Cricetulus griseus: one gene and its partners. The protein of the gene in region 2 purifies or fractionates together with the protein of the main gene of each other region. This does not show direct contact. Links are inferred from orthologs where the notes say so. Each region holds a gene or a part of one and is shown on either strand. Other genes may lie near its edges. The genes, in order: Arpc3, Arpc5l and Arpc2.

What was found.
Region 1: the proteins of Arpc5l (region 2) and Arpc3 purify together in Homo sapiens (affinity purification with mass spectrometry; 7 studies listed by BioGRID and IntAct, counting the BioPlex papers as one, with this or other methods). This does not show direct contact. The link is inferred for Cricetulus griseus from reciprocal best matches to the Homo sapiens genes ARPC5L and ARPC3.
Region 3: the proteins of Arpc5l (region 2) and Arpc2 fractionate together in Homo sapiens (co-fractionation; 7 studies listed by BioGRID and IntAct, with this or other methods). This does not show direct contact. The link is inferred for Cricetulus griseus from reciprocal best matches to the Homo sapiens genes ARPC5L and ARPC2.

Annotation. Positions count from the first base shown.
Region 1 is NC_048597.1:102,222,532-102,226,281, reverse strand, and holds the start of Arpc3 (actin-related protein 2/3 complex subunit 3), read right to left. Parts: upstream 2,641-3,750; 5' UTR 2,402-2,640; coding exon 2,396-2,401; intron 1-2,395. UniProt on the Homo sapiens protein: Component of the Arp2/3 complex, a multiprotein complex that mediates actin polymerization upon stimulation by nucleation-promoting factor (NPF).
Region 2 is NC_048599.1:150,270,761-150,274,510, reverse strand, and holds the start of Arpc5l (actin-related protein 2/3 complex subunit 5-like protein), read right to left. Parts: upstream 2,919-3,750; 5' UTR 2,799-2,918; coding exon 2,650-2,798; intron 1-2,649. UniProt on the Homo sapiens protein: May function as component of the Arp2/3 complex which is involved in regulation of actin polymerization and together with an activating nucleation-promoting factor (NPF) mediates the formation of branched actin networks.
Region 3 is NC_048595.1:427,495,525-427,499,174, reverse strand, and holds part of Arpc2 (actin-related protein 2/3 complex subunit 2), read right to left. Parts: coding exon 3,477-3,650; intron 2,417-3,476; coding exon 2,323-2,416; intron 1-2,322. UniProt on the Homo sapiens protein: Actin-binding component of the Arp2/3 complex, a multiprotein complex that mediates actin polymerization upon stimulation by nucleation-promoting factor (NPF).

The DNA of each region.
Region 1 (3,750 bases), on a different chromosome or scaffold from region 2:
TGTGTATACAGTGCCCAGAGTGTTTCAGAAGTGGTTGTTGGGTTCCCTGGACCTGGCTGTTGTGAGCTGATGGATATGGATGCTGGGAACAAAATTCTAGTGCTCTATTAAGAGCAGTGTGAGAATAGGGCTTTTCTGATGTCAATGGTAGCTAGCCCTTCAAGAGCCAATCTGCCCCACCTAGTAAATCTTTTATGTACATTTAAAACTTTTAAATTTATTTCTATTTTTTTGTATGCCTGTATGCCAGAAGAGGGTATTAGATCCCATTATAGATGGTTGTGAGCCACCATGTGGTTGCTGGGAATTGAACTCAGAATCTCTGGAAGAGCAGCCAGTGCTCTTAATCCCTAAGCCATCTCTCCACACATTTTCTTTTTCTTTCTTTTGGTTTTTTGAGACAGGGTTTCTCAGTGGAGCTTTGTAGACCAGGTTGGTCTCGAACTCACAGAGATCTGCCTGTGACTAAAGGCATTCATCACTACCGCCCAGCACCTCCACATATCTTTTAATCTCCCCACCTGGTACCACTTCTGTTATCCAAAGGCATTGCTACATTGCTAGAACCTGGTGGCCCAAGGGGCTGACCCTTTCCCGTACCCTTCATTTCCTACGTGAAGACTCTTTTAAAACTAGATAGTCATGAAAGACACAGTCACTACTTGAGTGAGAATAAAAACTATGTGAACTACCCACCCCATCCCATTGTGCTTGCTAACTCTGTTTGTGTCCAGGTCATGGTACATCTTTTGGGTTTTTTTTGGAAAAAAATTGCTGTTAAGTTGCTTTTGCTTTGTTTATGTGTTTCTTTGTGTGACACCAAGTATATGTGCTTCTAACAGCAGCAAGCACTCATAACTGCCGAGCCATCTCTCTAGGCCCTGACATGAGATCTCATATATCACACAAATATCACATATATAGGCACACATGTGATATTTCATGCTAACAGAGAAAGCAGACATAAAATAAATTATCATAGGTTAAGTCCAGAACTTTCTGTGTCCAACTGGAATGAGCACAGAGCTTTCCTTTCTGGCTTAAACTCTGGCTTCACTTCTTGTGAGAAACACTGCACAAGTCACATTAATTCTCTGAGCCCTAGTTCCTTCAGCAAAACCATCACAATAAGGACATCTACTTCATAGTGTCATCCTGGGAATGAAGGTCTCATCTGGACAGTAACCCTGGGTCTCCACATACACTCAGCAACTCTAAGACTCATCAAGACTCATAAACCTTACAAAGCTGAACTTGGTGATGCAGGCCTGTGATCCTAGCTACTTGGGAAGCTGAGGCAGGAGCATCACAAGTTCAAGGCCAGCCTGGGCAACTTTATGAGACCCTTCCTCAAAATAGGGTAAAAAGGAGGAGGGGATATAGCTCAGTGGTAGAGGATCTATATAGCCTGCCATGAGTTTCTGGGTTCAATTCCCAGCACTGCTAAAACACATACACAGAGCTGAAACTTACACTTGCTCTCCTTTTTGACCCAAGTACACCGTATCTACACCAGCCTGGTGCCCTCTCTGTCATGGGGTACTGTGTTGGTTTTCTTCTTTGCACATGTCCATACATCACTCATGCATGTTTGTGTGTAGTGTATAAGTGTTCATGTGTGCATGCAGGTGTATGTGTACATCTACACATGGAAGCCAGGTCTCTTCCACAACTGCTTTTTCCACTTTAGTTTTGGGACAAGGAGCCTCAGGGATCTCTAACCCTTCCCAGCTCTGAAATTGCAGACGAGTTCCTTCCCCTGACGGTTTAATTGTAAGCTCCTTGAGCAGGCCTTGGTAGCTGCTGTTAACAGTGCTGGTTTCCTAGTGAGAGTTCAGGGATGCTTGTCCAATGTGGATTTATTCACGCATCCCTTTACTAATCTGCAAAACAGAACCCATGATGGAGACCGGCAGTCAAATGTCAAGACACATCGCCCATCACCAATTTTTCCTCCCACTCGAAAGCACACGAAAAAGAAAACTCCTAGAAACCAGCGCTGTCTCGATCGTGGTCTGGAGCTACAGCAGGGAGAACGAGGTAGGGATCGGTCAGGGAAGCGAAGCCCGACAGGTGTTTAGCAGCAGGCTGACCCACTCCATGGGGCGGAGGAGGAAGTGGAAGTGACAACGGGGAGAGAAAAGGGGAAGCTGGACCCTAGATTTAAAAATAAGTTAAAAGCCGTCGTTCTTAACTTCGAGGCTCTCGGGTGGGATCTGGGAACACTGCAGGACTAGGAAGAAAGCAGCCCTGCGAGAAAAGGACTGGAGCAAAGGGCTGGGGCTGGAGAGCAGGGCAGCTGTTTTCTCTCTCCCCGGACTTCTACCGCGGCCTCCCGCCTCTCTTCTGGCCCTTGCCCCGCTCGCCTCTCCACCCTCGGGGCTCGAAGCCTTACCGGCATTTTGGAGGTGTCCGGATTCGATCCAGAGAAGCAGGACCCAGGTAAAGCGGAACGCTTCCGGCCAGCGAACCTGGGTGGAGTGGGCGGAAGTGAGCCGGAAGAGGCGGGCGAAGCGAAGAGATGCACTTCCGGTTTAGCTTCCGCCTCCCGGTTGCTGCGACCGCTCTGACCGGAAAGGACGCCAGGGATGTGCGAGCAATAGGCTGAGTGTGTAGCGCATTCATAAAACGCGCGCACGCAGCTTTACAATTAAAGAGTCCTTCAGAGGTTAATAATCACCTCCCGCTTTTTTTTTTTTAAATTCCCTGGCCTGTTTCAAATCCGGTACCACTCAGCTCCCTGATTTATCCTCCTCCACTGTCAAGTTTTTATTTTTACCGCAGCCCACGTGGGGAGTCGAAGTTGGTGCTCACCTTCCACCATGGGGACTCTGGGCACCGATCTCAGGTCTCCGGGTACCTTTGCACTTGAGTCATCTCGGCGGCCCTTATTTTTCTTTTCTTTTTTAAGATTTTATTATTATAGTCTTCTGCCTGCATGCCAGCAGAGGGCGCCAGATCTCATTCAAGGTGGTTGTGAATCACCATGTGGTTGCTGGGAATTGAACTCAGGACCTCTGGAAGAACAGTCAGTGCTCTTAACTGCTGAGCCATCTCTCCAGTCCCTATTTTTATTTTCTTGTGGAAGATTCTTACAATGTCCAGGCTGGTCTCAAACTGGATACATGTGTCTTGAATTTATGAGCCATCCTCTTGAATACTTTTATGCTGGCATCACAGGTGTGGTCCCCATCACTCCTGGTTGCTCAGTTTTATGATGTCTACTTGTGGTGTTTCATCTCCCTGTCTTCCTTGTCACATTGAGACAGTCAGGGACCACCATGGGAGTAAAGTGCAACACCACTGCCCATCCATGTAACACTTGCCTTTAATCCCAGCACTTGGGAAACAGAAGCAGGGGATCTCCGAGTTCGATGCTAGCCTGGTCTACAGAGTGAGTTCCAGGATAGTCAGGACTACACAGAGAAACACTCTCAAAATACAAAAAAAGGGAGGACCTATTTCTTTCCAACACATACATTCATAAATACATATCTCAAAACACAGTTTTAATTTTTAATTGTATAAATAATGTTTGATTTGGGAAAATAAGATTCATGTATATATACCCTTCCAATATTTTTTCATTTGGAGATATGTTTTGTTACAATAATTGTACCTCTTCAAAAACAAACAAATCAATCAAAAGAAAATCCCTCAAAAAACAAAAATCCAACTGTAAATAAAATTAAAATTAGACTCAAGTGCACTGGAGTGTGCACACATACATACACACACACACACACACAC
Region 2 (3,750 bases):
ATGTTAAGTTTAGTACTGCTTTTTGTTTTTTTGAGAAAGGGTTTCTCTTTATATCTTTAGCGCTTGTCCTGACCAGGCTGGCCTCGAACTCAGATACCCACCTGTTTCTGCTTCCCAAATGCTGGGGTTAAAGGTCTGTGCCACCACTGCCAGACAGTACCTGCAGCTTTTTGTGAAGCAATCTTCACAAAAGCTACTGCTGGGTAGAACTGGGGGGGGGGGGGGGGGGGCAACTCTACGATCACACAAAGTTTACTAAACTACCTCCATACCTAGACAGCTTCCAGCACTTTCAGAGAACACACTGTGGTAACTACAGAACCCTCTAGACTGTTCTCAGCCATGACCCTAAAACTTTGATGTGTGTTGCAGGATGCTTAACAGCCTCCCTGGCCTCTACCGTTAAAGTTCCCAGTAACATCCTAAAACTGTGATAAACAAGTGTCACCAGATTGTCAAATTTCCTTGGGGGTGAAAAGAACTATATGAAATCACTCAAAATGGTGCTCTATAGTCCTCTTCAAGGACCAAAAGCTGCTTCACTGAGAAAGAAAATGAGCTACAGTGATAATTTAAAACTGCCAGAGTGGAGGAAAAATCTCCCCAGGGTCTTAGACCCAGGACTAGATGCAGTCACATTTCACATTTCACCTTCCTTTAAAAATCCTCTGGGACAAGAACCTGACTTCTTCCTTTGAGACAATGAAACTGAGCCAGAAGGGAAATTACCTGCTCAAGGTCACAAATCCAAGCCCTCTGTACACTCCATCACCACAACCTGTGGAGAACACCAGATGTGTGTTCCGTGAAGCTACATTGAAGTTGTGAGGCCAGCATAGTTATGTCTATCATTTAGAAAAAGAATACTGAGGTTGAGAAGTATGTGACCTCTCAACCGGGGCTCTGCAAAGTCCACCAAATCTTCCTGTGCTGGTCCTGGGCCCTTCCCCATGTGTCCACGGCCAGAGCGTATCCCTTCACGTGGGAAGGGCTCTCAAAGTCCCTTCTTGCACCAGGGAAAAATACTCTATCTGCTCTTCTACAATGGCAATTCCCACAACAGCGGAGACCACTTCCTCTTAGCCCCCCCCCCCAAACCTCTGCTCTTCTCCAAGACTCCCTCCCATGAGGTTCTTTGGATTGAATGCAATGATCGAAGTCCAACACTTGGCACCTGGAAGGCACTCAATTACTACTTCCATCCTTCCCCCTACCTGCTGACATCTGCTAGGGTTTCACTTCTCATCTGCTAACCTCCCTTCTCCCAATCCCAAGAGGTACATTTTCCACCGTAACAAGGCTTCTGATACTGCCATCTCCTCTCTCTAGAAGCTCTAAATCTAAAGCCTGAAACTGCCTCATTAAAAAAATAATGAAAACAGCTAGCGCCAGGCATTGGTGGCGCACACTTTTAGTCACAGCACTCAGGAGGCAGAGGCAGGTGAATCTCTGTGAGTTCGAGGCCAGCCTGCTCTACAGAGTGAGTTCCAGGACACAGAGAAACCCTGTCTCCGGTAAAAAAAAAAAAAAAAAAAAAAAAGTACCAAGGCAACAGCTGACCAAGCCCCAGTCTCTTCATCAATATAATTAGGATTCTGGGTCAAATGAATCACTCTGGAGCCTTGTCAACAATTGAGTGCCCATAAACCAGTCAATTCCCTGCACCACAATAAAAACCGTTCTCATCACCCCATTTAACCACTTGAATGATGCAGGAAATACAAGTTTGAAATCTCCACGTTTGAAAACACTCCTGTCTGGACGAGTTGTTTTAAAGGTATATTAGAGAACTACGGGGCTCCTCCCAAAAGCAGTAGGCCTGACTTCCCAGGCTAAGTCAACTGATTAAACACCCAGAACATGATTTATATACAGCAAGAGCCTCCAACACGGCCCTAGCAAGTGCGGGGGAAGGGTACACACCATTTGCATAAAGAATAAAAACTTCCTGTGAGATTGTCAGTTCCCCGTGGTGCTCAAGCCAGTTGACAGTCACCTCTATTTTTATTCTTCTGTTCTAAACGTCAGTTTTCTGTGGCCACAAGAGCAGTCATTTCCAGTCGCTGGGGAGTCTCTTTTACACTTGACACTAGCTTTTTCTATGCTTCCTGCACAAGGCAGTTAATGGGAGAGTCGCAAATCACTTGTTGAATGTGGCTCGGCCCATAAAAGCTCAAAACCCAACGTGCTCAGAGGAATGTGATGACAGGTGAGAAGAGGTGGCACGGCAATGTCACACCCTCCCCTCCCCAACCCCCACCCTCTGGTCCATCTTCCCCCCAACAATCCACCCACCTATTTTCACGCTGGGCTGCAATCGGGCCCAAGAAAGCCATAGACAGGCCGCCGGAGGCCCTGGCTGCTCAATGAATCCAAGGTGGCTCACCTCCGGCCCTCCCGCGGATCAGCGGCCGGGCATGGCCCAGTCTCCTGCAAGGAGGTTTGGAGGGATCAAGGCCCATGCACGGGTACCCAGAGGGATGCGGAGGAGTAAAACGAGCTCCAGGGCCGCGCTGCTGAGGAAGGGTAGAGGCCGGGGACGAAGGACCCGGGGAGCTCGGGACTGGTAGAAGCCGGGCGGGGGCTAGGGCTGGGGCGAGAAGGGTGCGTGCGAAGGCCGAGTCCGAGCGGCCTCGCCGGGAAGGATATTGCCGCAGGAGCCCGTCCACCTCGGCGGGGTCGGGGCCTGGCTCGCCAGCCGCCGCCGCCGCCTCTTCCTGCTCGTCAACGAATTTGTTCTCGTCAAACTCGTCGATGTCCACCCGACGGAAACGTGAGGACAGTGTGTTCCGGGCCATGGCGGGAGCTCGGCGGCTGCCCAGCCGGCTAGATCCCACTGCCCTCCGCACCGGCTCCGCTCGGGGGCGGGAAGCCGCAGCGAAGCACCTCCTGCCCTTCTCCACGCGCAGCCGCCGCCGCCCGCCCACTTCCGGGCCACGTCGGAACCGGAAGCTTGTGTGGGCGGGACAGAGGCGCGGATTCGTTTGTTCCTGTTGTGGCTTCCCCTAGCGGTGCCGCGGTTGCTGTGTCTTCCTCCAGGCTACCGGCCTGCGGGCACAGGCAGCACCTCCGTCAGCTCCTGAGGAAGAAACCCTTGAGCTGAGGAAGGAGTGATAGTGAAGCGCGTCGCCTGAGCCTCTCTACCTTGGACGCGAACCGCACTGACCCACAAAAGGATTCCTGTCTGGTTACAGAGAAGTGACTTTGTTAAAGGAGTGAAGGGCTTTATAACTGCGTTAACGTATAACCCAAGAACTGACATGACGCTTGAGGACATCTTTACTTGAAGATGTAGCAACATCTCCGGGCGCTCCGAAAAAAAAGATGCCGTGGTCACCTTTATTGCTGAAGGCCGATGCTGACTTGAAGAGGTGCATTTTAGGAGGCGAAAGCAGCAGAATTCAGAAACCGGTGGGAAGAGTGCAGTTAGTCCAGGAGGCCTAGGATGCTGGTTTCTCCTGATTTCAGCTGTAGGCTAAAATGGGCTTTTCCCATAATTGTACGAAAACTTACTACATTTTCATCTGATAGCACTCTTGTGCAAAAACAGTATTTGAAACATCATGTTTTGCTTTGCCTACTTCCCATTGAACTGTATCTGTAGATCAAAAACTGCCAGGCAGACATGGTGCAAGTAGATGCTGAATAAAGTCTCAGATCCTGGAAGTAGTCAAAACCTACCTGTATATCTGCCCCATACATAAGAAGAAATCTGGGATGCAGGCTGGCCATAAAATAGCAGGAATTAAC
Region 3 (3,650 bases), on a different chromosome or scaffold from region 2:
GAGTTCCAGGATAGCCAGGGCTACATAGTAAGACCCTGTCTCAAAAAACATCCATGAACAACAAAACCAACAAAAAACAAACAAAAAACGAAGAATTCAAAGTCATCCTTGGCTACATAAGATGAGTTCTCTTCCTCCTTCTCCCCATTCCTCAAGAGATTTAATCAACACTATTTCTGCAGTGGGAAATTGCCTTTAGACAACTTGATGTCTTTGCTTCTCCCTTGCTCTCTCTTGAAATAACAACAGCAATCAGCCCCACCAAACAGCCCCAGTCTTCATTATTAGCCTAGCCGTCACATAAAAACCAACCTGATTGTTAGGATGTCGGCTGAACACCAAGTACACTATTACTTTTTTTAAAAACATTTATTACATTTCATTCACTCTGTGAGTGTGAGCATCTGGTCTACTGCACATATATGTGGATTAGAGGACAACTTTAGGAAGTTAGTTATTTCCTGCCACCATGTAGGACCTTGGGATGGAACTCAAATCAGGCCATCGAGCTTGTGATTTTACCATGGCACTATTTCTTTCTTCCAACAAAGTACAATTTATCCTGGGGATAAACTGTGTATGATAAAGGTAGCATCTTAAATTAGCCTAGCCTAGATTTAGTCCACTTCTTAACTATTGCATTTAATTCCCATTAATTATGCAAACAGTATTATGGAATGTCTGTCTAGGGGCTTACCTTTAAGAGTCATATATGCATACCCTCTTTTTCTTCATGAAGTCCAGTACTATCAAATGCCAAAGTGTCAATATTCCACTTTTCACAAAGGGACTCCCAAACAAGAGTTATTGATCAGTCAGTCCCAAAAAAAGGCATTAATGAGGATGGCATTTTGACATTTTCCCTTGCTAGGTAGAAGGTCCATACATAAAGCCTCACTGTGGTAACCACAGCTTCTTTTAAGCCTCTTTTGGAAGGGGGGGGGTGGTGGTAGAGATTGTACTTTAAAATTTTTTTTTTTCTCTGAAAGAAAAAAAAATTGAGGCCTAGGCCATCTTGCAGCAATCCTCTTGCCTCAGGCTTCTAAGTGGTTGGATTAGACGCTGGGCAATAAGCCTGTCTGCTTCAGAATTAAAAACAAAACAAAATAAAATCCATCATTCTGCCAGAGAACAGGAAAATGTATTAAAGCTTTATATTGCAGTGTGAATGCTTATCCACTTCAGAAGGCAGCAGCCTGAGTATCTCCTGATCAATAAGCTCTCATGTCTGAGAGCCAGTGACTGGCCAGCAGGCAAAATGACACAGTCACAAGGGGTCTACAATATGCTGAGTCCCACTGCACCAGAATCCCAATGACAAAATGTTCTTCTAAATCCCATTACTCTTCCCAGCAGGAGGCAATCTACGGTGACTCATTCAAACTATGGCAGGGCTCTCCTGTCAGCCACAATTCCACCTACTGAATGTTATCTCCTACTTTGGAATTCATTATTCATCATTCTGAAGACATGGGACCTAATGCAAGCCAAGAACAGTCCTTGATACAAAAACTGAGTAAACATGAGATAAGGAAATGAGACCACACTTTAGATCAAGGACTCTGTCACAGGAAGGAAGGATAGTTAATATTCAGTCAAAATTAACTCTCCCTCTTGCCTTGTCCTGCAAAAGGCTAGAACCATCAAGAAGAAATAGTATATTCATATAAGTTGGTGGGGGGCCATGCTGGTTAGCTTTTGTCAACTCAACACAGACCTAGACATTTCTGAGAAGAGGGAACCTCAACTGAGGAACTGCCTCCATTAGACTGTCATGTGGGCATGTCTGTGGGGCATTTTCCTGATTAATGATTAATGTGAGGAGCCAGCTCACTGTATGTTGTGCCACCCTTGGGCAGGTGGTCCTGGGCTGTATAAGGAAGCAGGACAGGCAAGCCATGGGGAACAAGCCAGTAAGCAGCACCCCTCCATGGTCTCTGCTTTAGTTCCTGCTTTCAGGCTCTTGGGCTCCTGGACTCCTTCAGTGATGAACTGTGACCTTGAAGTCTAAGGTAAAATAAACCCTTTGGCCACAGTGTTTTATCATAGCAACAAAGAAACAAACTAAGACAGGGTTGTTCATCACAACTTCCAAGTTCCAACATTAACAGAACTTTGTCTTTCCTATGATATGGCCTACATGTATGTTATTCTGTTACCATGTTCCCAGGTACTGGGGATTGAACCACAAACCATGTACATATTAGGCAAATGCTCAACCACTGATCTATACAACCCTACCCCATATGTTGGCTAGGTATGCAGAGTGTAAAGATTTAACTTCCTGCAACACCATTTCCCTTGAAGATTTGTGCTCCATACCTGCATGAAGACCTTTCCGATGACCACATCGTCGTCATCCTTAAACACCGTGCTGAAGACTACTGTGACTCTGTCTTTTTTAGATTCAACATACCTGAGGGAAACAAACTCGGGCGTGTAAGTACAGCATCAGGAGATTCTGTCACTAACTATCTGCAAGAAGGGTAAAGTGCAGTCTCCAACTCAATAAAACAAAGGTGTGCCAGAGACTAGTACTTGCAGTCAAGAAAGTCAGGGTAGTAAATGCATTCCCAAGAAGGAAGTGGAATTAACAAAACTAGGTTTTTAAATCTTGTATATAAGGCATAACATTATTTTAAATTAGTAATTCTTAATAATGTCATTTAAAAAAAGTTTCTTTACATATGATAGGATCCATACATAGTACACATTTAAGAGCTGCAGTTACAGCATCTATGCTTGGTCTCTGGTGTCTGACTATCTAGGCCATTTTTAAATTTTTTCATGTGTTTATTTAATTTTATATGTACAGGTGTTTTGTCTGTATGTATAACTGTGCATGTGTGTGCTTTGTGTCCAAAGAGAAAGTCAGATGCCCTGGATTTGAGTCACAGACGACTATGAGTTGCCATGTGGGTTGATAACTGAACTCAGAGCCTCTGGAAAAGCAGACAGTACTCTGAAGGGCTGAGTCTCTCCCTAGCCCATGGGAAACTCCTTTAAGAAAACTCAGAAAAGTAATGCCTTGGACCTGCAGAGATGGCTCACTGGCTAAGGGTACTGGCTGCTCTTCCAGAGGACATGGGTTCAATTCCCATCCTACAAAGCAGCTCACAACCATAAAATACCAATACACATAAAATAATAAGAGTAGTGCCTAGGGTTGGAGAGATGGCTCAGAGGTTAAGAGCACTAACTACTCTTCCAGAGGTCCTGAGTTCAATTCCCAGCAACCACATGGTGGCTCACAACCATCTTTTATGAGATCTGGTGCCCTCTCCTGGTGTGCAGATATACATGGAAGAAGAACGTTGTATACATAATAAATAAAATCTTAAAAAAAAAAAAAAAAAAAAAAAGAGTAGTGCCTTAAGGACAGCACAGGGTTTCTTTTCATTTGGTTGATACTGTATCTCTCTCAGTCAGTGCTGTATGGAGGCCACCACCAGGCTGGAGCTGAAGTTCACACTTACATGGTCTCATCGTCCCGGTAATGGATGACCGCTCTGTTCTCTCCTTCCTTGCCCTCTTCTTGGAACTGAAAGTATTTCTCAAAGACAGAGGCAAAGCAATTTCGCTTCAACATGCCAGCCTGATGCACAATAGAATCCTTGGATGCAGGCAGATTTTCAAGGTCATATAGCAAA